Canis lupus familiaris: one gene and its partners. The protein of the gene in region 3 binds, or shares a complex with, the protein of the main gene of each other region. Links are inferred from orthologs where the notes say so. Each region holds a gene or a part of one and is shown on either strand. Other genes may lie near its edges. The genes, in order: MED20, MED31, MED24, MED18, MED21, CCNC and MED26.

What was found.
Region 1: MED24 (region 3) and MED20 share a complex: the UniProt entries of both Homo sapiens proteins name them as parts of the mediator complex. The link is inferred for Canis lupus familiaris from reciprocal best matches to the Homo sapiens genes MED24 and MED20.
Region 2: MED24 (region 3) and MED31 share a complex: the UniProt entries of both Homo sapiens proteins name them as parts of the mediator complex. The link is inferred for Canis lupus familiaris from reciprocal best matches to the Homo sapiens genes MED24 and MED31.
Region 4: MED24 (region 3) and MED18 share a complex: the UniProt entries of both Homo sapiens proteins name them as parts of the mediator complex. The link is inferred for Canis lupus familiaris from reciprocal best matches to the Homo sapiens genes MED24 and MED18.
Region 5: MED24 (region 3) and MED21 share a complex: the UniProt entries of both Homo sapiens proteins name them as parts of the mediator complex. The link is inferred for Canis lupus familiaris from reciprocal best matches to the Homo sapiens genes MED24 and MED21.
Region 6: MED24 (region 3) and CCNC share a complex: the UniProt entries of both Homo sapiens proteins name them as parts of the mediator complex. The link is inferred for Canis lupus familiaris from reciprocal best matches to the Homo sapiens genes MED24 and CCNC.
Region 7: MED24 (region 3) and MED26 share a complex: the UniProt entries of both Homo sapiens proteins name them as parts of the mediator complex. The link is inferred for Canis lupus familiaris from reciprocal best matches to the Homo sapiens genes MED24 and MED26.

Annotation. Positions count from the first base shown.
Region 1 is NC_049233.1:10,759,470-10,762,969, forward strand, and holds part of MED20 (mediator of RNA polymerase II transcription subunit 20), read right to left. Parts: intron 2,558-3,500; exon of another isoform or gene 2,484-2,557; intron 2,267-2,483; exon of another isoform or gene 2,017-2,266; coding exon 1,763-2,016; exon of another isoform or gene 1,164-1,762; intron 98-1,163; coding exon 1-97. UniProt on the Homo sapiens protein: Component of the Mediator complex, a coactivator involved in the regulated transcription of nearly all RNA polymerase II-dependent genes.
Region 2 is NC_049226.1:30,892,170-30,896,157, forward strand, and holds the start of MED31 (mediator of RNA polymerase II transcription subunit 31), read left to right. Parts: upstream 1-1,188; 5' UTR 1,189-1,316; coding exon 1,317-1,344; intron 1,345-2,042; coding exon 2,043-2,120; intron 2,121-2,407; coding exon 2,408-2,504; intron 2,505-3,988. UniProt on the Homo sapiens protein: Component of the Mediator complex, a coactivator involved in the regulated transcription of nearly all RNA polymerase II-dependent genes.
Region 3 is NC_049230.1:22,449,540-22,453,493, forward strand, and holds the start of MED24 (mediator of RNA polymerase II transcription subunit 24), read left to right. Parts: upstream 1-1,154; 5' UTR 1,155-1,313; intron 1,314-1,691; 5' UTR 1,692-1,770; coding exon 1,771-1,900; intron 1,901-1,988; coding exon 1,989-2,071; intron 2,072-3,954. UniProt on the Homo sapiens protein: Component of the Mediator complex, a coactivator involved in the regulated transcription of nearly all RNA polymerase II-dependent genes.
Region 4 is NC_049223.1:71,505,649-71,508,459, forward strand, and holds the end of MED18 (mediator of RNA polymerase II transcription subunit 18), read right to left. Parts: intron 1,406-2,811; coding exon 852-1,405; 3' UTR 501-851; downstream 1-500. UniProt on the Homo sapiens protein: Component of the Mediator complex, a coactivator involved in the regulated transcription of nearly all RNA polymerase II-dependent genes.
Region 5 is NC_049248.1:25,934,982-25,939,046, forward strand, and holds the end of MED21 (mediator of RNA polymerase II transcription subunit 21), read left to right. Parts: intron 1-1,430; coding exon 1,431-1,545; intron 1,546-2,068; coding exon 2,069-2,169; intron 2,170-3,373; coding exon 3,374-3,550; 3' UTR 3,551-3,565; downstream 3,566-4,065. UniProt on the Homo sapiens protein: Component of the Mediator complex, a coactivator involved in the regulated transcription of nearly all RNA polymerase II-dependent genes.
Region 6 is NC_049233.1:58,015,467-58,018,966, forward strand, and holds part of CCNC (cyclin-C), read right to left. Parts: intron 2,470-3,500; coding exon 2,414-2,469; intron 1,520-2,413; coding exon 1,484-1,519; intron 810-1,483; coding exon 718-809; intron 74-717; coding exon 6-73; intron 1-5. UniProt on the Homo sapiens protein: Component of the Mediator complex, a coactivator involved in regulated gene transcription of nearly all RNA polymerase II-dependent genes.
Region 7 is NC_049241.1:46,379,603-46,383,102, forward strand, and holds part of MED26 (mediator of RNA polymerase II transcription subunit 26), read left to right. Parts: intron 1-1,902; coding exon 1,903-1,977; intron 1,978-2,798; coding exon 2,799-3,500. UniProt on the Homo sapiens protein: Component of the Mediator complex, a coactivator involved in the regulated transcription of nearly all RNA polymerase II-dependent genes.

The DNA of each region.
Region 1 (3,500 bases), on a different chromosome or scaffold from region 3:
CTGGGGCTCCTGGCGTGTGGCTGCCTAAAAAACTCTGCAAGAACTCGAGCAGTAGGCTCCAGCAGTCGCTAGCTACCACACAGGGGCCATACTCCACCTAGGGCCAAAAGAACATAGAACAAGGGTGAGTGAGGCAAGGACAAGGTCTTCTGCTTCTCTTATACCTCTTACCCCCTGCTCCTAAATTCTCCAGCCCCAAACCAAAGACAAACACCTTTTAACACAGTGTTGCTCCACAGGAAATACTCAACCCAAACACCTGGGATTCCATATACCCAGCATTATTCCCTTTAGGCATCTCTGGCATTCTCATCTCATCTTAGGAGTTATCAACCTACAGCCCAACCCACAAGACCAAAAGTCCCCTTTTGATACAGGCCCCTTTTGATGATCTCAGAACTGTATAGTCCCTACTATGCTGCATTAAGATCGAAGGAGAGCTAGAAAAAGTCTGAGAGAGAAAATGAAGAATGAGAGAAAAGTAAGGATGTGTGTTTGTGTGTGTGTGTGACCAGAGAGAAAAGTAGACACTAAGTCTCTTTAAGACCAAACATTACCCCCAAGATAGACCCCACCTAACTCTAAGAAGTAATTTCCCAACCCATGTGGCAGGGGCCAAAGGAGATACACCTTAGACTTTCTCATTCCTTTTTCCTAGTTTTTCACTGGAGGGATGGCAAGAAAAATAACTAGTAACCATAAGGAGAAACAAGTAAAAAAGAGCTGGGATGTATCTGTACTAAAAAAGCTAGAAATGTGAAGGATAAGCAGACAGTGGGTTCCCAGTGGGACTCAGCTAATGCAAGGTATATCACAAGCCAAAAGAAGTCAGGAAACTTTGGTCCCAGAGGTCACTGGAGTTTCAGAGCAGTAATCACTACTAAGGCCCTTTTCTCCACCTGGAATGCTTTGTGGGCCTCATCTATTCCCACATCTCTACATTATAAATCCCTCTTTACATGCTACTCCTGCAGAAAGCATCCCAATCCCCAAAGTCAGCAGTGCTCTCATTGGCCCAAATTCCCAAAGCAATTTGTGCCTGGGAATGCCTTAAAAATTAACTTAAAAAACAGTCGGTGTGTTTCAGATTCACTCATTTTCTCAATCACACATTTTCAAAAAGCAGGCCCTATAGCTTACTAATTTTTTTTCTCCTCACACAGAGCTGGGCACATAGCAGACTGAGGAATTTCACTGGTTCCAAAGCCAGCTACTGCCACACTCCCTCTTTGCGGTCTCCAACATATACCTCAGAGATGGAATCACCACACAAACTTCTTTCCACCATGAAAGAAAGTTGACAGCATATCAAAAGGAAAGGCTCATCTCTGCTACAGAACCTTTGAGACCTATCTTAAAGTATACCATGGAGAGGGGTGTAGTTACATGATTTAGGGCCCACCACCCAAAAGTTACCTGTACACTGTCTCCCCCTGGTTTGCTCCAGTCCTTGTGACAGGTGACCAGTTCCTCCACATCACAATCAACCTGTCTCCCTTGGCTATCCCTTCCCTCCTCCAGCAAGCCAGCCTTCCTAAGCTTTCTGCCACTGCAACCCCAGCTTCCCACTCTCACCCTGGGCCAGAGCCCGAAGGACTAAAGAAAGGATAAAAGATGCAGAGACAGAGAAGCACAGATGCTCTGGGGACAGGATCAGGAAGGCATCAACAGCGGTTTGCACTCAGAGGGACGTGGAAATCCACCAATCCCTCTGCTGAGCAGCCCTTCAGCATATACTGCTCCTTTTCCCCCAAGGTCTTACCTCTACAGAGATGCCTCGGGCACTGGGCCCCATGGTGACTGTGCCCACCTTCACTAGGAAATCACAGTACTGGTAACGGGTACCCCGGGTCTCAATCTTGCTGGCCTTGGCACTCTGGAAAAAGCCCTTGAGCTTCACCATGAGCACATCGAAGTTGGTGTCGGCAATAAGGCAAGGGCCATTCTCAAAAAGGGCGAAGCAGCTCAAAGGGTACTCTGAGTTGTGCATCACGTACATCAGTTTCCCGGCCTGACCTACAGGGACAGAGAGCCTATCAGCATCAGGATCTTTGTTGGCAAGCCTCGGAATAGTCAAATGCATGGAACAGGGCCAGATGGCAATCTGCCACTACCTCAGCCATCTTGGAGGGCAATGGAGGGTAATCCCCTCACCAACAGTCTGTTCCACAAAGAGGAAGGAAGAAGAGCAGTGGGCAAGGCAGTATGTGGTAAAAGCTCATTCCCCAGGAAATATGAGGAGCATAAGGGAACTTCCATAGCACTGGTAAGTTTAGTTCTTGAATGATGGGCTCCACAGATGGGTGCTTAATGATGACAATCAATCACCCACAGAGACTTCCCATAGTCTTCTGTATAATCCTATGTTATGTAATAAGGAAAATAAGAAGTAATATTAAAAGCATTTGAGTATACAAAAATGAAGCAAATGCTCTCTTCTCTGTCCTTCCCTTTCTCCTTTGGCCTCCTTCCTGATATAAAAGAAGAGGCCCCACAGAAGCAGCAAAGGGGAGTATCTGAGCTTGAGGCTGGAAAGGAAGGCCAGAGTGAAGCTATGGTAAGACTTATTTTCCATGCCTCAAGAAGTCTGGACTTTACCCTGAAGGTAATGATGAACCCCTGGAGTGCTATAAGGCATCAGCTGACTTGGGAAGCAATCAGCACTTTCACAGAAAGAACTCAGGATCTGGAATCAGAAGGTCTCATTTCAAGCCCCATCCAATCTTTCCAGTCTCTGAGAAATGAGTTTTCTCATTGATTACTACTAGAGATTTACTGCAAGAAGGAAAGCTACATATATTTGGTTAACTGAGAAATAGAAAGCAAGATCCCCTGTTTATACACTGTAAGAATTAATGGATACACTACCACAATCCCAAGTATTCATGAAGACTTAGCTATAAAGTATTTACTAAGTACTTAATCATCCCAAACATCGTGCTAGGGTTTAAGAGGCATGCAAGTAGAAGACTTAGTACCTGACCTCAGGAAACTGACACTCTCATTAGAGACAATAAGACAATAAAAAACTATTAAGGAGATAGTAAGACCAAAACGCTTATGTGGGATAGACCAGAAATCTTTTTGGAAGGAAGAAAAGACCAGAGCAGGAAAGGATCAAAGTGTGCAAGAGTCAATAGGAAAAACTTTCGTGGAGAAAATAGCACCTGAACTATGATACAAAGAGAAGGTAGGGTTTGGCCACATAGAAAAGGAAAGATATTCTAGGCAAGAATGAGAGCTTAACAGTGGAAACGAGATGGGGCAGAGAGACCTTTACATAGGCCTCCACTCTGCTGCTACTTCCAGAACTCAACAGGCTCTGCACCAACCTTTCTCCACATCCCTCCTGACCACTTGTGCCAATGGGTACCTTTTACCTCCTGCTAAACCCAGAGCAAAACATTTCAACCCTGAAAAACAAACAACCCAAAGCTGATCTATCATTCATTCTGTTCTTGTGCAAACTCACTGTAATTACCGAATTCATACTACAGGAG
Region 2 (3,988 bases), on a different chromosome or scaffold from region 3:
AATAAAACCCAAGCCCCTTTCTATGGCTTCCAAGACCCTTTGTGAACTTGCTGCTGCTTCTTTCGCTAACGTCCTCTCTCCTGTACCACGCTTGTCCCTCGCATAGCTCCAACAACGCTGGTCTTCTTTCTGTTCCAGAACATTCCAAGATTGCTCCCGTCCAGCCCTTGCGTTGCTGTCCCAGACCCCTGCACGGCTCACTGTCCACCCACACAAGCCTCAGATCCAAGTCCCCTAACCAAGGCCTTCCCTGACACTTCTGAGTGAGGAACCCCTCCCATTACCTGTTTCCTTCAGTTACTCATTGCGATAGAAAATGGTCTTTTCATCATTTGCCGTGTGCCCCTTCACCAGTGTGAGCTCCTGAGAGCCTGGGTCCTGCCTACCTTGTCCAAGTGCCCACAGAGGAGAGGCTCCATAAATAGTACTGCCCTCCCCGCCCTCTGCGAGACCCGGGCCGGGTTCCCTTCCGAGATCACGCCTCATGGTAGATGTTGACTTTTATCTAGTCTGACCTGTATGGAAATGTGTGTGACTGGGGGTGCCCGTACAGGGCACAGGGCTTAGCATAAACAAAATACCTGCTTGGTTTGAAACACAAAGGCCAACTGGTTAATTAATGGAGGTCTGTTTCTTGCCCCTCGGTTTCCGGCCGCGGTGTGATCCTCCCAGTGGTCACGGTTTGGGTTTGCTCCCTGTCCCCGAAGTCTGGATCGTGAGGGTGGTTGGAACAACAGCCTCCCTATCCATCAGCCCATCAGGCTGGCGGAGCGTCGCGGGCCTGCGGACCTCCAGTGCTGGCTTGCTGCAAGGGGGCTCCCGGGGTCAACGGTGCGGCCACCCGGCCGACGCGCGGCGGAGGGGGCTGGCCCAGTGCCGACCCCGCACCTGCCGCACCTGCCGCACCTGCCGCACCTGCCGCACCTGCCGCACCTGCCGCACCTGCCGCACCTGCGCTCGGGTCAAGGGGGGGGTCCCTGTGGGTTGGAACGGCCGCTGGGCGTTCTCCCGGCTGAGGACTGCCCCCGCGGGAGACCCCACCGAGGGGATGTAGGCGCTCCCGGAGGCGCTCGGGACCCCCGCGGCTACGTCACTGGGCGAGCAGAGAGGCGGGGACAGGACCCCTCCCGCGCTCGGAGCGCCCCAGCTCCGCCCCTCGCCCCTTGCGAGTCTGCGCGAGGCCGGTGGGCGGGGCCCGAGAGGACCGCCCCGCCCCGCATCCCACACTGCCCCGCGACAGGAAGTGGGGCCGCAGCTTCCGGGACCTCCGGGAAGCTGCTCGTCGTGCTGGTGACGTCTCGGCGCTTTTGCTGGCGATGGCCGCGGCCGTCGCTATGGAGACAGGTAGGTAGCGGCCGGAGCCCTGGCAAACACAGCTACAGCCGGCTGGCCTCCTCCTCCAGCTTCCCCCGGGACTCCTGTGTGGCGTGACTTCGGCGGGGCTCCTGTCCGCGGCTACCTCCTCCTCGCTTGCCGCGCAGACGCCGACCACCCCTCAGCCTCAACCCCTCCCGGGCCCCGACCCCGCGGCCTCCCGACCCATCCCAGGTCCTGGCCCTCCCAGCCTCCGGGCTCTGACACCCCCCTCCCCCGGGCCTCCCAAATCCTGCCGCCCCGAACCAGTCCCCCCTCCCCGCCAGGCCCTAGCGGGAGCACACTCGCCCCCTCCTCTTGCTTAGCTTGCAGCCCTCCGCCACTGGTCACCCTGGAGGTCCTGGGGAGTGGCTGCCAGAGGGTGAACATCCTGCCCAGGGGGCGCCCGCTTCCTCGGACTTCTCCTTAAGGAGTTACTGGTCTCATTAATCAGGGCCCTGCTCTCTAGACTTGGGAGGAAACGGCCCTCTCTTCCCACATCCAGCTTAGGACAGTCATCCCTGCCTTATGCCTTCAGAGATACTCTCAGCAATACTCAGAACACTCCACTGCTGTTTTCTTTCTACAAACCAGCACTTTAGATAGTCACCTTTATTTTGTTTTTTATTTATTTTATTTATTTTTTAGTCACCTTTACTTTGGATGATTTTTGCTCACTTCCCTCCTAGATGATGCCGGGAATCGACTTCGGTTTCAGTTGGAGCTGGAATTTGTGCAGTGCCTAGCCAACCCCAATTATCTTAACTGTAAGTCCTTGAGCTCTTACTGACTTGAGTAGCTGTTAGTGATCTCTGGCAGAAGAACTGCAGTTCCTAATGATACCTATTTTTATATGTTCTCAATCCAGTGGAATTAACTGCTACGCTTATACTGGTGTGTGTGAGAACAAATTGGGACTTATGTTCAGCATTTAGTGTGTGTTGGTGGTGGGGAAGTTATATAAGTAGATGCTTTATGTGAGGGGTCACAAATCAGTAGTCCGAGGATTGGTTTGCTCTACAGATTTTTTTGTTTGTTTGTTTATGCCTTTCAGTTCTTGCCCAAAGAGGTTACTTCAAAGACAAAGCTTTTGTTAATTATCTTAAGTACTTGCTTTACTGGAAAGAACCAGAATATGCCAAGTATCTAAAGTAAGTTTAATTTTTATAGTCCTAAATATGTGTATAGTTATTACATTAAAAATACTGATATTTGACAGATTTTCTCATTTCCCATTGGAAAAAAGTATATTTTGAATCTCTCCACTTCTTTCAGTTGCCTCCACCTTAATACAGAGCCACCCCCTCTCCAGCTTGGATTATTGCGGTGTCCACCCCCCTGCTTCTCCCTGCTTGTGCTCTTACCTTCCTTCTGTGTCCTCCCTCCCGCAAGCCAAACCAAGCAAAACAGTTTTCCACAGGGAAGCCAACTTGATCTTTCAAAAATGTAAATTATGACGTGGTATTTTCTTGCTTAAAACCTCCCAGTGGTTTCCCATTGCATGTGAAACAAAATCCTCTCTCTTTTCTCAGGTCTCTCTTTATCTATCTACCACTCACCCCATCTCACTGAATTTCTGACCCTAATGAACCCACAGTCTGTAGATGCAGTGGTATTACCTGAGGCTGAAGATTAAAGAACATCAGGTACTTGGAAGGTTTTCTGGAGGAGGTGACCTTACCTGACTCTTAATATAGGCATTCCTTGGATACTGTTGATGTGGTTCCAGGCCACTGCAATGTGGTGAATATTGCAATAAAGTGACCCAAGTTTTTGGGTTCTCTAGTGCGTATAAGGGTTGTTAACACTATAGCATTAAGTCAAGAAAGAGGTACATACCTTAATTTAAAAATATTGTTAAAAAACACTGTCATCTGAGGTTTTATGGAGTCTGATCACAGATCACCCTAACAAATACAATGATAAAGAAAAGTTTGAAATGTGAGAATTATCAAATAATGACAGACATAAAGTGAGCAAATGTAGTTGGAAAAATGGTACCCATAGACTTGCTTGCTGATGGGTTGCCACACGCCTTTAATTTTTAAACAAAAAGTCCAAAAAACAAACCCAAACCAGTGTGTCTATAGCTGCTGTGCCTCCTCTGTGCCAAGCATCACACTTGTTTCAACCTTGAACCCATCCCTCTTCTTTGTCTTCACTAGGTAGTCAGAAAGCAATAGTTGAACTTCTTGTCTTTCTTTTTTTTTTTTTTTTTTTTTTTCTTGTCTTTCTTTTAAACAAACACGTTTGATAGGAAAATGATTCAGACTTGTACTTTATCCAAGTCACTTTTTATTTTTTGTATTTTTATTTTTTTTCCAAGTCACTTTTTTGATTTGTGTCAACTGATTCACAAAACCCACATCCTTCTCCCTGCAGGACCCTGTACACCCTGACTGCTCCTTTATGAACAGCCACTTATTCATTGAATAATCCGGAGAAAAGCTTTTTCATTAGCTGTTGTGTGCATGTGTAGACTTGGAGACTCCATTTGGACCTGGAGACACAGGCAAGGTCTAGTTCAGGGCTGGCCGTCTACACTCTGCATGGGTCCAGTGAGCACCTGTTCTCCATTTAGGGACAGTTGCACCATTAGCTGGGTGCTGGAAAGTTTTTCCTTATTTTGGGATAT
Region 3 (3,954 bases):
GTTTGGCACCTGCCTTTGGCCCAGGGCGCAATCCTGGAGACCAGGGATCGAATCCCACATCGGGCTCCCGGTGCATGGAGCCTGCTTCTCCCTCTGCCTGTGTCTCTGCCTCTCTCTCTCTCTCTCTGTGACTATCATAAATAAATTAAAAATAAATAAATAAATAAATAAAAATAAAAATGGGTTTAGATATACAGGAAAAGATATAGTAGGGAGCCCCCATCTACCCCATACCCAATTTCTCCTTTTATTTAGCCTCTTATGTTAGTATGGTATTTTTTTTACAATGAATGAACTACTATTGGTATGTTATTATTAACTGATATCTATGCTTTTCTCGTATTTCTTAGTTTTCACCTAATGTTCTTCTTCTGTTCCAGGACAACATCTGGGAGGGATACCAAGTTACATTTAATAATTATGTCTCCTTGGGGATCCCTGGGTGGCTCAGCAGTTTAGTGTCTGCCTTTGGCCCAGGGCGGGGTTCTGGAGTCCCGGGATCGGGTCCCACATCGGGCTCCCTGCATGGAGCCTGGTTCTCCCTCTGCTTGTGTCTCTGCCTCTCTCTCTCTCTGTGTGTGTCTCTCATGAATAAATAAATTTTAAAAAATTATGTCTCCTTAAGTTCTCTTGGCTATGACAGTTTCTTAGACTTTCCTTAATTTTAATAACCTTACCCCTATTTTCCTCCTTAGTTCTCCCCATATTCAAGCAGTATGCGGGGCCAGGAGATTCTGGGAGGACTGCCAAATCTGGGGGTTAAATGGTGATGTATGTGCAACTGATCAAGCCCCAATGTCGCCTTTGGAATACGAGAACTCTGGTATATGCAGAGGTGTAGGAGCACCAACTAATTAATTAATTAATTGATTGATTTAAAAAAAAAAAAGGCCAGAGAAGAGAAAAACGTATTACTGAACAAAAACCACACCCCTACTGTGCCTACTAGCATATAACGAAAGAGTGTCAGAATATCATTTAAATGCCTGGTCAACAGTGACGTCTTTGGGCGACGCCTGTTTACGAGCAGTCTTTTGAGAGCTCTCCCCCTCTTCGCTCCCGGAGTCTCTGTGATGCTTCAGCTCCTGCCTGTCCTTTTCCAAAGCAGAGAAACAATGCAGGCTGACTAGCTTAGTCCCTTGGGTTCTCACTAGCCCAGGCCAAGGAACTACAATTCCCAGAAGACATCGTGGAGTGACCTGTCTCTTGCCGCATTCTTATTGGCTCATGTTTGTTACTCCCAGCCAATAGAAGTTAAGCTCTTTGATAAGTGCCAAGATGGCGACACTTAGGATGTAGAACTAGCTTGTACGGTAGGCTTAAAATTGGGGAGGTGGTGGATGAAAAGGAAATAGGGAATTATAGTTTCAAGGTTGGGGGAGGTGGAGGAAATGGAGGAAAAACTGTGGGTTTGGGGTGGTAGGGGCTGAGGGACGCAGCCAGAGCTGAGGGCGTAATTAGGCATTCGTATTGGCTTAACCCCTTGCCACCCTCTTTACTCTTTATATTAAGTCCCTTTGACACCCTTTTCTTAGTGCTCCAGTTTAAGGAAGGATGATTCAGGAGGGAGGAACCTGACAGAATCTCTTCCTTGTCCTCTTCCCCATTTTTTCTTTGTAGTTCTTCTGCCTCCCTTAAATCTTCCCGTATCCGTTTCATTCAACCTGGCCCTTCTCTGTTCTTTCCTTCAGAATCTCCTCTCCCCTTCTCTTAGCTCAGTTTCTCCCACCTCAAAGCTGACTGCCATCGGCCCCTTCTCCGAGTGAAATCATGAAGGTAGTGAACTTGAAGCAAGCCATTTTGCAAGCCTGGAAAGAGCGATGGAGTGACTACCAGTGGGCAATCAACATGAAGAAATTCTTTCCCAAAGGAGCCACCTGGGACATCCTCAACCTAGCAGGTCTCAAGTGGAGTAGGAAGGAAGGATGGGAGGGCTAAACCCATAAAAATTATAACCACTCAGTCTTGCTTTGTTATTCCCCTTGCAGAAGCACTACTGGAGCAGGCCATGATTGGACCTTCCCCCAATCCTCTCATCCTGTCCTACCTGAAGTATGCCATTAGTTCCCAGGTAAACTGCCCCACCTATTCCAGAGAGTGAGGATTTGAAGGTAAAAGACTTGGAGTACAATCGTCAGCTCTCGCTTTCTAGGTGGATTTGTTTCAACACAACACTTCTCTGAGCCTCAGTTTTCTTGTGAAAATAATAATACTTCATTGGTTGTGATGAATGTTACATGAATTTATTCTATCAATAAATATTCATAAGTGTGTCAGATAGTGGTATAGGCCCTGGGGATATAGCTGTGAACAAGACCTGATCCCAGTACACACAAGGAATTTAGTGAGTAATAACAGACATAAGCAGTCACAGGATGGGTTTATTTATTTATTTATTTATTTATTATTATTATTATTTTTTAAATTTTTTTTTTTATTTATTTATGATAGTCACAGAGAGAGAGAGAGGCAGAGACACAGGCAGAGGGAGAAGCAGGCTCCATGCACCGGGAGCCTGATGTGGGATTCGATCCCGGGTCTCCAGGATCGCGCCCTGGGCCAAAGGCAGGCGCCAAACCGCTGCGCCACCCAGGGATCCCACAGGATGGGTTTATGACGAAGGTTAAGACAGTACTAGGGGAGTATGTGCGAGAGGCATGGAATTCAGCTAGGCAATCAGGAAAGGCTTTCTGGAGAAAGTGATGTTTAAACCAAGATCGTATTGTTAATAGGAGTTAGCCAGGCATATTGGTGAGAGTGTACTAAGCAGAAAGAAAAGCATATTTAGAGGCTGGGAGGCAAAAATCACATGTTGTTTAGGAACCGAAAAAAATTTATATGGGTAGAGCAGTAGTTTTGGTCTCAGGACCCTTTTATTTTCTTAAAAACTGTTGAGACTCCCACAAAGCTTTTGTTTATATGTATTACGTCTATCCATATTTACCGTTTTAGAAATGAAAACTGAGAAATTTAAAGAATAATTATGAACTTATTTAAAAGTAATAAAAAGTAAAGTCTGTTAAATAAAGCCTGTTATATTACACATTAATATAAATAACATTTTAATGGAAACCATATTTCCCAAAACAAAAAAGCTAGTGAGGAAAGTGTCATTGTTTTACGTTTTTGCAAATCTCTTTAATGGTTTAATAGAAGACAGCTGAATTTTCATATCTGCTTCTGCATTCAATTGTTGCAATAGGCTATTTTGGTTGAAGTTTATGAAGAAAATCTGGCCTTACACATCAGACATTTAGTTTGAAAAGGGCAGAGAATTTTTTTTTTTAAGATTTTATTTATTTATTCATGAGACACAGAGAGAGAGAGAGAGGCAGAGACACAAGCAGAGGGAGAAGCAAGCTCCATGCAGGGAGCCCGACGTGGGACCCGATTTCAGGTCTCCAGGATCACACCCCGGCTGCAGGCGGTGCTAAACCGCTGCGCCACCAGGGCTGCCCAGGGCAGAGAATGTTAAGCTTTTCAAATAACTGGATATTCATTGACACCAAAAATTCAACAGGTGATGTGAAACCACATAAATGAACTTAAAAATAAGTTAATTATTTTTTAAGTAAGCTCTTCATCCAATGTGGGGCTTGAACTCACTCACTACTCTGAGATCAAGAGTCTCATGCTCTGGCTCAGTTGGAGCCAGGCTCCACTCAATGAACTTTTTATACTCTGTTACATTGAAATCCATTGGTCTCTCTCTTGCATTTTGAACAGATCTTTTACTCATGCATGATTTTATAATATCACGAAGTGGTCATGTGGAAAATATCTGTTACTGGGTTACACAGATATTCCAATTGTTGACACATTTAATTATATGATTCACATGTCATGGAGCCTTTGGGATGTTCCACATACAGTTGTGGGAGAATGAGAGTAGAAAAGGCAAATAACATCTTAGCAATACTTTTTTTTTTAAAGATTTATTTATTCATAGAGACA
Region 4 (2,811 bases), on a different chromosome or scaffold from region 3:
TGCCTTCAGCCCAGGGCATGATCCTGGAGACCTGGAATGGAGTCCGGCATTGGGCTCCCTGCATGGAGCCTGGTCCTCCCTCTGCCTCTGCCTGTGTCTCTGCCTCTCTCTCTGTGTGTCTCTCATGAATAAATAAATATTAAAAAATAAATAAAGAAAAGTTTTTCAGTGAACGTGCTACTTTGGTTAAAGGTAAAAACTATTACCTTTATCAGGATTCAAACTAAAAACTGTCATTTTTTGGGATGCCTGGATGGCTCAGTGGTTGAGCATCTGCCTTTGGCCCAGGGCAATCTGGAGTCCCAGGATTGAGTCCCACATCGGGCTCCCTGCATGGAGCATGCTTCTCCCTCTGCCTATGGTGCCTCTCCCTCTGTGTCTCTCATGAATAAATAAATAAAATCTTAAAAAAAAAAAAAAACTGTCATTTTTTTTGGTTCCAATTGGTAGTGAATCCACCCCGAATTAGCAGGGTAATAAAGAATTGGAATCACAGATGCTTCTCTTCATAGCCTTTATTACCCCACAATACAAGCTCACAGTCTCTATAAACCTTACACACAAATAGCAAAACAATTAAAAGATTTTTCTTTCTGAAAGCTAATTTATTCTAGTTTCCTCTCTTTATACAAAGGGACTAGATAGACTTCTCATGTTATCCTGAGCCTTTAATTTGGAAAGGCTGTCACAAAAGTGAACTTGTCACGTGAGGAAAACAGTGTAAAGACCCAACTAAGTTCTTACTGTCCTCCTAAGAATGCCTGGCTGGTAGTAATGAAATGGGGCATTTGTAACATCTTCTCTTTTATAACAGGTGAGGATAGGCCCCAGTGGCGGTCAGACTGTCTTAGTCACATGAGCCTTTTGGGGTCTATTTTCTCTAGGTGAACCAGAGGTTTCAGCTGCTCGGCAAAGTTCCTCATGTCATCAGAGACCATGTCCTGCCCAGCTGGTGCAACAACACTCAGTTCCACAAGATAGGAAAGTGACAAGGCCTCAGTGCTGTCTGTGTTTCCTGGTACCAGGATGCGGAAGATCTTGTATACCATAATCTTCATGATACCCTTACGGAACAAGTGACCCTTGGCAACAAACTCATGGTCCATGCGGAAGCCCATTTCCATCAAGAAGTCAGTGAGGTTCTCAGATGTTGCAATGTCCACACAATTTCGCACCAGGGCATGGCGGTTCTTGTCTCCCATTTCCGGTTGTCCCAGGTAGCGTAGATGCCAGGGTGCCCCGCCCCTATCCATAGAACGCCGAGCCCTTAGAACAAATGGACTAGCCTGCTGGCCCTTAAGGAGGAACACCATTTCATGGTCAAGGAAAGTCTCAGGTTCCATGTTGTCACACAAACCACGAAGGCGATGGATGAGGCTTTCCAAACTGTGATCTAAAACACTTCCTGAAGAACAAAAGAGCATTGTTGAGTCCCATCTTTCATTTGGAGTACTGGGATTAGCAAAAGACTGAAAAAATTTAAATGAAAAACCGAAACAGTTTATTGCAGTGTTTTGTAGAGCACAGGTCCAATATATGAGATTTCAGAGGGGTTATGCTGCCAAGGTATTAGATAACACTATGAGAAACTTAATCCCCTTTCAGTTTTTTGCATTGTCTTATTTGGTACTAGAAAGCCTTTAGGCCTTCCCTAAATGGTAATTGCCAGTGGGCTCTGGGCTCAGAGGCTTTAACAACGAGAATAATAGTACTCTTGTCATTTATTTAAAAAATTATCTTTTATTTCTAGCAACACAAGTTTTCGATCTATAGATTATAACATTTCCTTTTTTTGTAAAATATTTAAGTAAAAGAAAATGAAGTGCTCCATAAAAATAGACTGATCTTTGTTCTCATCTTATTCATCCTCCTAGCAGCATCTGACATGGTTGTTAGATTATACCCACCTTGAATCTATTCTTCCCTTGGCCTCTGGGACACAACTCTTAGTTCTTTACCTAACTCACTGACCATTCCTTTTAAGTCTACTTTGCTGGATCTTTCTCACCTTCCCTAAATACTAAAGGATCCTAGGACTCAATCCTGGTCCTCTTTTTAACAATCTCTTCCTCTCAAGGTGACCTAATTTGGTGCTATGGTTTTAAATGCCACTTATGCCCTGAGGCCTCCCATGTTTAACTCATGAACTATAGACTCATATAGCCAACTGTCTACTCAGTTTCTCCACGTGGATACCTAACAGATATCTTCATCTTCATATGTTGAGTATCCAATTGTTGGCTTTTCCTTCACAATCTTATTCCTCTTGCAGTCTTTCCCATCATAGTGAATGGAAGCTCTCTGCTTCTAGTTCCCCAGGCTCCAAACCACAGAATCATCCTGATTCCTTTCTTTCCCCCATATCCTACACCCAATCCATATTTTAAAAATACATGCATAATCCAACCACTTCTCAGCCCCTCATTCATTTCCATCTAGTCCAAATCTCCTTTATTTCTTGCCTGCTTCTACCCTTCTCCCCATAACAGCCAAGTGGTCTTTTTAGAATATAAAGCAGATAATGATATTCTGCTCAGAATCCTCCAATGCCTTCCCTTGTCATTCAGAATAAATCCCAATGTCTTTATCATCATCTACAAGGCCCTATACATTGTGGTCCCTGCTACCAGTCCAACATCATTTCTTTCCACTATCTCCCTAGATCCTCTCACCAGCCACAGTGATCTTCCTGTTATTTCCTAAAATTGCCAAGTATTTGATAAAGTATTTCTATTCAGAACCTCTTCCCTTAGCCCCTACACTTAGAAAAATTTTCTCACTGGTATCTGCATGCCAAACCTGAATACTTTC
Region 5 (4,065 bases), on a different chromosome or scaffold from region 3:
TCTGTTGTGAGATAATTGAACTCCTGCTGTTCCAATGATAGAATGAAAAGAAAATAGAACTATTTGAAGATGAAAGGAGATTAAGAGTCTGAAGTTAGACTGGTTTATAACTAGGAGATTCTCAATAAGATTAGATATTAAAGGAAACAGTTGACTTTGAGTTCAGTCATTTAAAAAATGGCAGAGAAACTTAGTGGAAATAGTTACAGATTGGAAATAAGTGAGATTCAAAAGGTCAGGACTATTGAGGGAAGCTAGTGGGGAGGATAGGAGTTTTAACTTTGCCAACTGTAAGGAACTGGTATTCTCTTGTCTTCAAAACTGTTTAAGGAATACTGTTAGAGCACTGGGAGTTTACAGCTTGAGTCACAGAGGAAAACATTTCCAAGTACTTAAGGTAGAGGGTTTTTTTTTTTTTTTTAATTGACAGAACATTAGTTTCAGGTGTACAACATAATGGTTCACTATTTGCATATATTGTGAAGTCACAATAAATCTAGTTAACATGTCACTGTACTGTAGTTATAAAGTTCATTTTTTTTCTTTTGATGAGAACTTCTAAGATAACTCTCTTAGCAATTTTAAAATATACAAACAGTATTAACCATAGTCACCATATTGTATGTTATATCCCCATGACTTAAGGGGATAGGAAGGTTGTACTTTTTTGACTCCCTTCACCCTTTTTGCCCACCATAAGCCCCACCTCACCTCTGATAACCAGGAGTCTTTGTATGTGAGCTCAGTTTTTGTTTAGATTACACATATAAGTGAAATCATGTAATATTTGTCTTTCCCTGACTTATTTCATTTAGCATAATGCCCGCAAGGTCTATTCTTGTTGCAATGGCAAGATTTCCCCCGTTTTTCTTTAATGGCTGAATGATGTGCCTGTGTGTGTGTACCACAGTTTCTTTTTTCATTCATGCATCATGGCCTTATAATTTCTTCAGGTGGAGTCTTTTCCCCACTATTTTTTTATAGTTGTAACTACTTTAGTCTCAAAAAAGGGATCAAATACTTTGTATATAAATTACATATTTTAAAATTTATCCTAAGGCCATACTTACATATTTGCCAGTAGATTTGCTTTCTTCCACCGCTACCCCCCAAAAATCCCTACTTCTGCTTGTAACAAGTGTTGGCATTTATTTCTCTTATCATTCTGTTACCTTGGGAAGAAAACAAAGATTATCTTGTATTTCCTGTTAACTGTTTCAACTATGTTGATACCAAACCTAGTTTCCTTGCGTGATTAAACATTTAATCATTGTTAATAATAACTAGCTAATTTTATCCCAGATTCTTCCTGTTTTATTCCCTTGCTTAGATATTGTTATTATAGAAACTTATTTTTGTTGCTGTTACTGGTAAAATCCTTAAAACTGATCAGTCCTTTCTAACTCTGACACATTTTCTTTGGCTTCAAGCTTGCAGATCAGTTTTGTAATGCCATTGGAGTGTTGCAGCAGTGTGGTCCTCCTGCTTCTTTCAGTAATATTCAGACAGCAATTAACAAAGATCAGCCAGCTAATCCTACAGAAGGTAAATAGATTTTCTTGGCTTCTCTTCATTTGACCTTTATAATCTTTATAATCTTTTAATATTAAATTTATTGAGAAATACAGCTTACTTATGATTTGAGAATATTACTGTAAGTTTTGTTATAAAAGATGATTTCATTAGATATTCTACATTTCGTAATTCTGTTCATGACAAAAAGCAGATTGTTATTCCTTTACAGCTGACTTTACATGAATTTAGCAGAATTTCACTTGAGGGGCCTTAATAAGGAAGGCATTCCATTTACATATTCTTTTATTCAAATGACTGACATACTGTCCTAAAAAAATGAAATAATTATGTTTAGTTCCCAATTTGAGTTAATAGTAAGGCTACTTCTCAAACATGTGATAGGGTTGGTGTGTTAGAATTACATTTTAATCATTCAAAGCATAGTACAGAAAAAGTTTATGACCTTCTCTGGTTTCATTAGGTTCAAATTTAATTTCTACTTCTGAAAACTTGACATTTCCTAATACTCTAAATGAGTAATATCTTTCTTTAGAATATGCCCAGCTTTTTGCAGCACTAATTGCACGAACAGCAAAGGACATTGATGTTTTGATAGATTCATTACCCAGTGAAGAATCTACAGCTGCTTTACAGGTAAAAATCTCTTTTCCTTTGAGAAATTTGCTAGTAGAGTATTTTGATTAAAGGAGGTGTTTTTTTTTTTTTTTTTTTTAAGATTTTATTTATTTATTCATGAGAGTGTGTAACACTGAGAGAAAGAGAGGCAGAGACACAGGCAGAGAAGAAGCAGGCTCCTTGGAGGGAGTCCGACGTGGGACTTGATCCCCAGTCTCCAGGGTCATGCCCTGGGCTGAAGGTGGCACTAAACCACTGATCCACCCAGGCTGCCCAGGAGATTTTTTTTTTTTAAGTTATCTCTACACTGAACCCATGAGGGCTTGAACTCATGACCCCAAGATCCAAGAATCACAACACTCCTCTGACTGAGCCAGTCATTGCCCCAAAGATTTAATACCTTTTGTTACAATATTCAAAGTTTCCTTAAGATTAAGTTTCATTTATTTATTTTTGAAAGATTTTATTTTTAAGTAATCTCTACATCCAACATGGGGACCGAAGTCACAACCCTGAGATCAAGAGTCACGTGCTCCACTGACTGAGCCAGCCAGGCACCCCAAGATTAAGTTTTAAAATGGAAGTTTTCTTAATTGTAAACTACTGTAGTCTATTAAAGATCATGCTGAATATATATGGTTGTCCAATTTCGAGCTATAAGGAAACTTCTTAGTCTTCTCAGTTTGGCTCTTTTCCTAGCAAAGAATGAGAGGAGAGTGGCATTCTGGGTGTGTAGAATAGTAGTGTCCAAAAGCAGTGTCACATCTAGAGTGTCACATCTAGACAGAGATCTCTAATTGAAAATTCATTCTTTTAAGTAATTCATACAGGGAAAGCTCCTTAAAAGTTACCTGATTTTAGAGTTTCTTTCTTTTTTTTTTTTTTTAAAGATTTATTTATTTATTTATTCATGAGAGACAGAGAGAGAGAGAGGCAGAGACATAGGCAGAGGGAGAAGCAGGCTCCATGTAGGAAGCCCGATGTGGGACTCGATCCCTGGACTCCAGGATCACGCCCTGATCCAAAGACATATGCTCAACTGCTGAGCCACCCAGGCGTCCCCTGATTTTAGAATTTCTGACACTGAAAAATCTATCATAATGGTTGCAGAATCATCCAGATTTAAAAATAAATACTTCTGCAGTTTTTTTTCTTCTCAACTCTTAACTAATCTCCAAGTTTTTCATTTCTCAAAAGATTTTTAAATTTGTGTCTTACAAAGGCTGCTAGCTTGTATAAGCTGGAAGAAGAAAACCACGAAGCTGCTACATGTCTGGAGGATGTTGTTTACCGAGGGGACATGCTTCTGGAAAAGATACAAAGTGCACTTGCTGATATTGCACAGTCACAACTGAAGACAAGGAGTGGTACCCATAGCCAGTCTCTTCCAGACTCATAGTACCGGTATCTACCATGTGGGTGAGAAAAGAACTATTTCAGTGCCATTAAGAGTTCTGCATCAAATTTAGATGTAAGCCTTACCAACAGTTACAGAAACATTAAGCACTATGACACATGTTACCTTTTTAGCTATTTTTTAATAGTCTTCTATTTTCACTCTTGATAAATAAGCCTCTAAAATTGCGATTGAACCAGTTTTAAACCATCATATCATTTTTTTATTATTGGAATGAAATTATTGAGGCAGATATTGCATTAATGGTTATATTATTATTAAACAGATGTACTTTAAAATTCTGTTGTGACATTTCTATTTTTATTTTTATCAAATTTCTACAGTCTTTTTTGCAAATCAAATATCCCTCAAGCCAAAGGAGAAATGGTAAATGTAGAGATATGAGACATTTCAATATAGGTTGATATCCTTCTGCCTCTTCAGAGGTGACATTATATAAATTTGGAGTTTGAGCAAGGAAGGTTTCTGAAACCATATTGCTTTTAAGAAACTTAGGG
Region 6 (3,500 bases), on a different chromosome or scaffold from region 3:
CCTACCTAAAGCTATCATGAAAGGAGGATACAGTAGGCAAAGATCCGTTCTGTAGGTATCATTCACTATCCTCCTATAGAAATGTAAATCATATTATTACTGAAATCAGAACCACCTTATATGATTGTACATCTCCCTCCAGAGAGGGCCAGAGTTCCCATCTTTGTACATATTTATTTCTTTTAATATTATTGAAGCATAGATATAAAGGTGAAAACATCAAGAAAAAAAGATGGATACATGAAAATGACAATGAATAAGCATTTTTTAATGGATAAAATTACAGCTAAATAGATTTTAATTTAATTTTTTATTTTTTTGCTAAATAGATTTTAAAACTTAAAACCTTACAGTAAATTACAATATAATGATTTTTCCAATTTTTCAAAAATTAGAAAATCAGAGGAAACCAGAAATTATACAATATGTATATTAAATACCAATACAAAGCATTCTATTTGAAAACCTGTCTTAATTTTTATGTAAACAATGTTTTTTATAAGAATCAAATTTTAATGGAAATACTAAATAAGAATCCTTACCAATTTAGCATTTATAAATATAGTTAATTAAAATTCAACGAGCAGATATTTCGCTCAACATACAATATCTTGGGGCACTAGTTTAATTACTTTAAAAATACTAAACTTGATATTCAGTTGTCAACCTTCCTAGCTAATAATATGTTACACTATGAATAACTTCTGTTCTAATTACCATGCAAGGGGAAGCAACATGTCTTCTTGGCCCATGTCCTGCACATACTGGAGCAAAGGTCTATAAGGATGATACACTATCAAGCAACAATCCTAGAAACAGTTTAAAAAATGTGTATTGTATAAAAACAGATTTATTACAACACAAAAACTTATCATTACCCAACTGATTTATAATTGTGTATTTCAAAATGTATTTCTCTAAGTCATGCTTGCTTCCCTCTTATTCTCTTAAGCAAGCAGTATGGCAGCCCTAAACTCTACTATAATAGTGAAGGCAGTGCTCTCTCTGGAATATACCTTGGTAAATCGGTTGGCAGTCAGTCAGCATCCATTCCCTTAGAGACTCAAAGTGTCACATCTGCAACACACTGAAACCTCTTATTAGCCTATAAATCCATAATTCCCAACTGGAGGAGCAGAATTCTGCCAAAGACATAATCTATCTTTAAATAACACCACACACATACACAAATTGTGCAAATAATTTACAGTGGCTTAATGTCCTGACTGGTTTGCTTGTAATCCTTTTACCATAGTTACTATAGAACAGAAAAATTTTCCCATCCTAAGTGGGATATATAATTATTTTACAGGCTTGTGAGAGGATATAGGTGATGATACTACTAGATACTGTGATTTCACCATCATGTATAACTTGGATGGTTTTAAAATGCACCTCCCTACAAATCATTTCTTTAAATATTTCTGACTTCACTGTAGTTGAAAGTTTTACTCTATTAATCATAAGGAAGTAATATACTTACCATTAGTTCTAAAAGATAGAATTCACATTCTAATATCTGTTTTAAAAAAAAGATTACAAATGTCAACATGAAACAAATTAGATGAGTCTACTTAGTCTAACATAACAATTCATACATTAATGTAACATAGATTTTTACCAAAAATTTTTAAATCAAGAAAATATACACAGTAGTTTATATCAGAATGAACATGCCCAATAAAAATTACTTTTTTACTACCATACAATGCATGAAATTATTATTATAAAGGATTTTAATCCTTATAGAAAAGTCAGCCTCATGTAAGCATTACTACTTTAATTTAAAATATTCTGTGTAAACTTCAGATTTTCCAATACACCTTCCACTCAACAAATGCAAAAAATGCAATTATCTCTATTTATGTGTTACTCTTATATTACAAATCAATAAAAGGAAAGAATACTGAATACAAAACAAAAATATACAATTTACAGAGATGAAGAAATCTCTTACAAGTTAGAAAAAGGAGATGTCTATTAAAAATGTTAATAGAAACTCACCTTCTAAATTAATGTAAAGTTTCAAATATGGTTTTCATATTGTTCCATTATAGTAGTTCTCAGTCCTAGCTGCACACTAGTATTGGGAGCTTTTAGAAAATACCAGTCCCCAGGCCTCAAGCCTAAAAATTCTGTTTTAGTTGGTCTGGAGAGCCTCTGGTATTAACATTATTAAAAAGTTCCCAAAGTGATTTGATGGGCATCCAGGTTTGATAACCACTGCTATTAAGTACTTTTTTTTTTTAAAAAAAGTTAGAATTTAGCTTTAATTTAGAATTAAAATTTATATTTTTGTAGTATTTAAAACTGCCATTTATAGGAAACTGTTCAATTTATTCTAACATAAAATGGAGCTAGCTTATACAGCTTTGAAAACAGGTTTGTTTTTTTTTTTATAACACATACTTACATGGTTCATCCTATAAGGAAATTCCTTTGGAAAGGCATATGAAAATCTAGTTTTTACTGCAGAAAACAAAAAAAATGACTTAAACTAAGAAAATGAAAAAGTAAATTAAACCAAAATTTCTTTAACACCGTGTAGAATATTAGAGGAAGGGCTAAATCACTTTTAGTAAGAGCTCTTAGAGATGCTTAGGGACCCAGATTTTGTTTTTTGTCTTCAGGCAAGTAGAAAGAACTAAGTGGCAGGAAGCCCTAACTATATTACAATTAAGAGAGAGCTTTAATTATATACTTCATGTCTTAAGAAAGGGTTCTGCTGCTTAAAAAATAAAGGGGTTGGATAAAAAAAAAAAATCACTTGGATTTTTTTCATCTCTAAAATCTTTCCAGCTCTAGAATGATATTGGTTTTATTTTTCAGTAATTTAGCTTGGAAGGAACACCAATTATATATGTATTCATACATACGTATATATGAATTGAAAAGATAATACAACCAAAGAATGTTAATAGTGGTCATCTGAGATTTAAGGATTTTAACTAATCTGTACTTTCTATAATAGATACTTTCTTATCAAAAGATACATTTTAATAAAAGTATAAACATACATCCAAAATTCTCCAGCACTTTTCCACACCACGCACAAACATATAATTATTACTCTTTTTTGTCACTAAGTACAAATGAAAAAAACTGTTGATTATCAATCCTCTATGTCCTCAAAATGATAAGTATACACATTTAAGTACTACTTGAGAAAACTGTATTCAAATCACTATGATGCCACATTTCATCAAGCGACTGACTACAGATAGTCTCTAGAGGATCTGTTCTGTGGTTTCTTTCATTTTTATAAAAACTAAGACCTCACAAGGATTTAAATTTTTTTTCATTTAGTTTACATACTTTATTTTCAAAAAGTTTTACTTTGGGGCAGCCTGGGTGGCTCAGCGGTTTAGCACCACCTTCAGCCAGGGGCCTGATTCTGGAGACCCAGGATCGAGTCCCATGTCAGGCTCCTTGCATGGAGCCTGCTTCTCCCTCTGCCTGTGTCTCTGCCTCTCTCTCTCTCTCTCTGTGTCTCTCATGAA
Region 7 (3,500 bases), on a different chromosome or scaffold from region 3:
CAGGCATGAGAACATTAATCTCATTGTTCGTCGCCATCAAAGCTCTTGGGTACCATGTACACTGTCAACAAGCGGTAGTATTTTGAAAGGAATCTTTTTTCCTAAACGCGGTATGTCTCAAGAGTAGGCTTAAAATAGTCTGTAAACCATGTGGCAAATTGATGTGCTGTCATGAGGCTTTGTTGTTCCATTTCTAGAGCTCATGCAGTCAATTTGGCATAATTCTTATGGGGCCCTAGGATTTTCCAAATGGTAAATGAGCATCGGCTTCAACTTAGTCACCAGCTGCATGAGCCCCCAATAAGAGTCAGCTTGTCCTTTGAAGCTTTGAAGCCAGACATTGACTTCTCCTCTCTAGCTATGAAAGGCCAGCATCTTTTCCCAATAGAAAGCTGTTTGGTCTACATTGAAAATCTGTTGTTGGATGTAGCCACCTTTATCAATTATCTCAGCTTCTTCTTCTGGATACCTTGCTGTGGCTTCTACATCAGCACTTTCTGCTTCACCTTGCACTTTTAGGTTACGAAGTTGGCTTTTCCTTAAACCTCACGAACCAACCTCCACTGGCTTCAGACTTTGCTTCTGCAGCTTCCTCACCTCTTCCAGTTTTCAGTGAATTGAAGAGAGGTAGAGCCTTGTTCTAGACTAGGCTTTGGCTTAAAGGAATGTTATGCTGTTTGATCTTATATCCAGACTACTCAAACTTGGTCCACATCAGCAGTAAGGCAATTTTGCTTTCTTCTGCTTGTTCACTGGAATAGCATTTTAATTTCCCTCAAGAACTTTCTTTGCCTTCACAGCTTGGCTAACTGTTTGGAACAAGAGGCCTTTCTTGGTTTGGGGCTTGGGGCAGGCCTTCCTCTCACTAAGTGTACTCATTTATAGCCTTTTAAAATTATTATTAAAAGGTTTTATTTATTTGAGAGAGACGGGTAGCGAGAGAGAGCACAAGTGGGGAGGAGAGGGAGAAGCAGACTCCCTGCAGAGCAGGGAGCCCGACTTGGGGCTCAATCCCAGTATCATGACCTGAGCCAAAGGCAGACGCTTAACAGACTGAGCCACCCAGATGCCCCCCATTTCTAGCTTTTGATTTAAAGTGAGAGATGTGTGACTCTTCCTCACTTGAACACTTCGAGGCCATTTTGTAGGGTTATGGGTTGGCCTAATTTCAATATTGTTGTGTCTCAGGGAATAGGGAGACCCAAGGAGAGGAGACAGAGGAATGGCTGGGCAGCGGAGCAGTCAGAACACACACAGTATGAATCAAGTTTGCCATCTTGTATGGGTGCAGTTTGTGGCACCCCAAAACAATCACCAATAGTAACATCAAGAATCACTGATCACACAGATCACTGTAACAAATATAACAATGGAAAAATCTGAAATATGATCAGAATTACTAAAATGTGATACAGAGACACAAAGTGAGCAAATGCCGTTGGAAAAATGCCACCAACACTTGCTCAATGCAGTGTTGCTACAGACCTTCATTTGGTAAAAAACACAGAATCTGTGAAGTGTATTAAAGCAAGAACAACAAAAGGAAGTATGCCTTTATTGTTCTTTTAAACTTGGTGTTTTATTTGATAAATCTTCAGCACCCTGCCCCCCGCCCCCATGAGATGGTAGAGTAGAACACCTCTGCCATATCAAGAGCAGATCTTATTTCATGAATGTCATGGGTTTCAGCCATGTGACAACCACTTGGGCAGGCAGGCATGTCCATGGACGGGCTCATGAGCACTGGGTACCTTGTTGGCTCTGGGAGCAGGTAGGAGGAGGAGGCTGCATGGGGTGAGAACTCTGGTGTTGCTTGACTCCACTGGCCCTTGGGGAGAGAGGCCAGAATGGGCTAGAACAGGGAGAAGGGCAGAGGTTTGACAAGCGGCTCTTGTTTTGCAGATCCGGAACATGGTGGCGGTGCTGGAAGTCATCTCCAGCCTGGAGAAATACCCCATTACCAAAGAGGCACTGGAGGTGAGTGTCCCCAGGACCCAATATTGGGTGGGCAGAGCTTGGCCTCCCCCAGCCCAAGTCCTTCGTGGCTTCTTGGAGCCTTGTGCTCTCACTGGCCAGATGAGGACTTAGTAGTGCTGAGTGAGGGGGGTGCATACTCTCCTGGCCTTTGCTGTGCCCAGAAGCAGCATTTTCCTATAGGTACTGCAGGAATCGGGTGGCTTTAGTCCCAGGCCTGGGAGGCATGCCTGAGGGGTTAAGCTCCAGTGAGTGATGCTGGCTCAGGCCCTCCGTTTGCTGTTGCCTTTGCCATAGCATTTCTCCCAAAGAGCTTCCTTGGCATAGTGTCATTTCACTGGCTTTGATGGTCCACAGCCTCCAGGTCAGAAGCCTGTGGGATGGTGCTTTTTTTTTTTTTTTTTTTTTTAAGATTTTATTTATTTATTCATGAGAGACACAGAGAGAGAGAGAGAGAGAGAGAAAGAGAGAGGGGCAAGCAGAGGAAGAAGCAGGCTCCATGCAGGAAACCTGATGCGGGACTCAAGATCATGCCCTGAGCTGAAGGCAGGCGCCAAACTGCTGAGCCACCCAGGGATCCCGGGATGGTACTTTTGAAGATGCCTCCTGTGGCCCTGAGACCCTAAAGTTTAAGGACTAGATTCTTGAAGTTAGATGTCACAAAGGACACCAAATCCTTATGGGTTTTGTATCCAGGAACTCTGTGGTTTAAGGGTCAGTGGGATTAATCAAAGACTAGGGGCCCTTCCCACCGTTTCTGGCTCAGCTCCCTTTTCATGGGGGACTTCTTTCCCAAAAGCATGTCATCGTCTCTCTGGTTGTAGGAGACTCGACTTGGGAAGCTCATCAACGACGTCCGCAAGAAAACCAAGAACGAGGAGCTCGCCAAGCGGGCCAAAAAGCTGCTGCGGAGCTGGCAGAAGCTCATCGAGCCCGTGCACCAGAATGAGGCGGCGCTGCGAGGGCTGGGGGGAGGCACCGGCTCTGCCAACGGGGGTGCTCATAACTGCAGGCCGGAGGCGGGGGCGGCCGGCACGCCTAAGAGCATCCATGACCTGAAGAACCGCAATGACATCCAGAGGCTGCCTGGGCAGCGGCTGGACAGGCTGGGCAGCCGCAAGCGCCGCGGAGATCAGCGTGACCTCGGCCACCCTGGGCCACCTCCTAAGGTCTCCAAAGCCAGTCATGACTCCCTGGTACCCAATTCGTCCCCTCTCCCCACCAACGGGATCGGTGGGAGCCCCGAGGGCTTCCCTGGTACCCTGGACGGCAGTGGGCACTCGGGCCCTGAGGGCGGCCGCCTGGAGCACGGCGAGAGCGACAAGCACAGCGGCAAGATTCCGGTCAATGCCGTGCGGCCGCATACCAGCTCCCCGGGCCTAGGCAAGCCACCCGGCCCCTGCTTGCAGACAAAGGCTGCAGTGCTGCAGCAGCTGGACCGGGTGGATGAGACTCCAGGCCCTCCCCATCCCAAGGGGCCGCCTCGCTGCTCTTTCAGTCCCCGGAACTCACGGCACGAGGGCTCC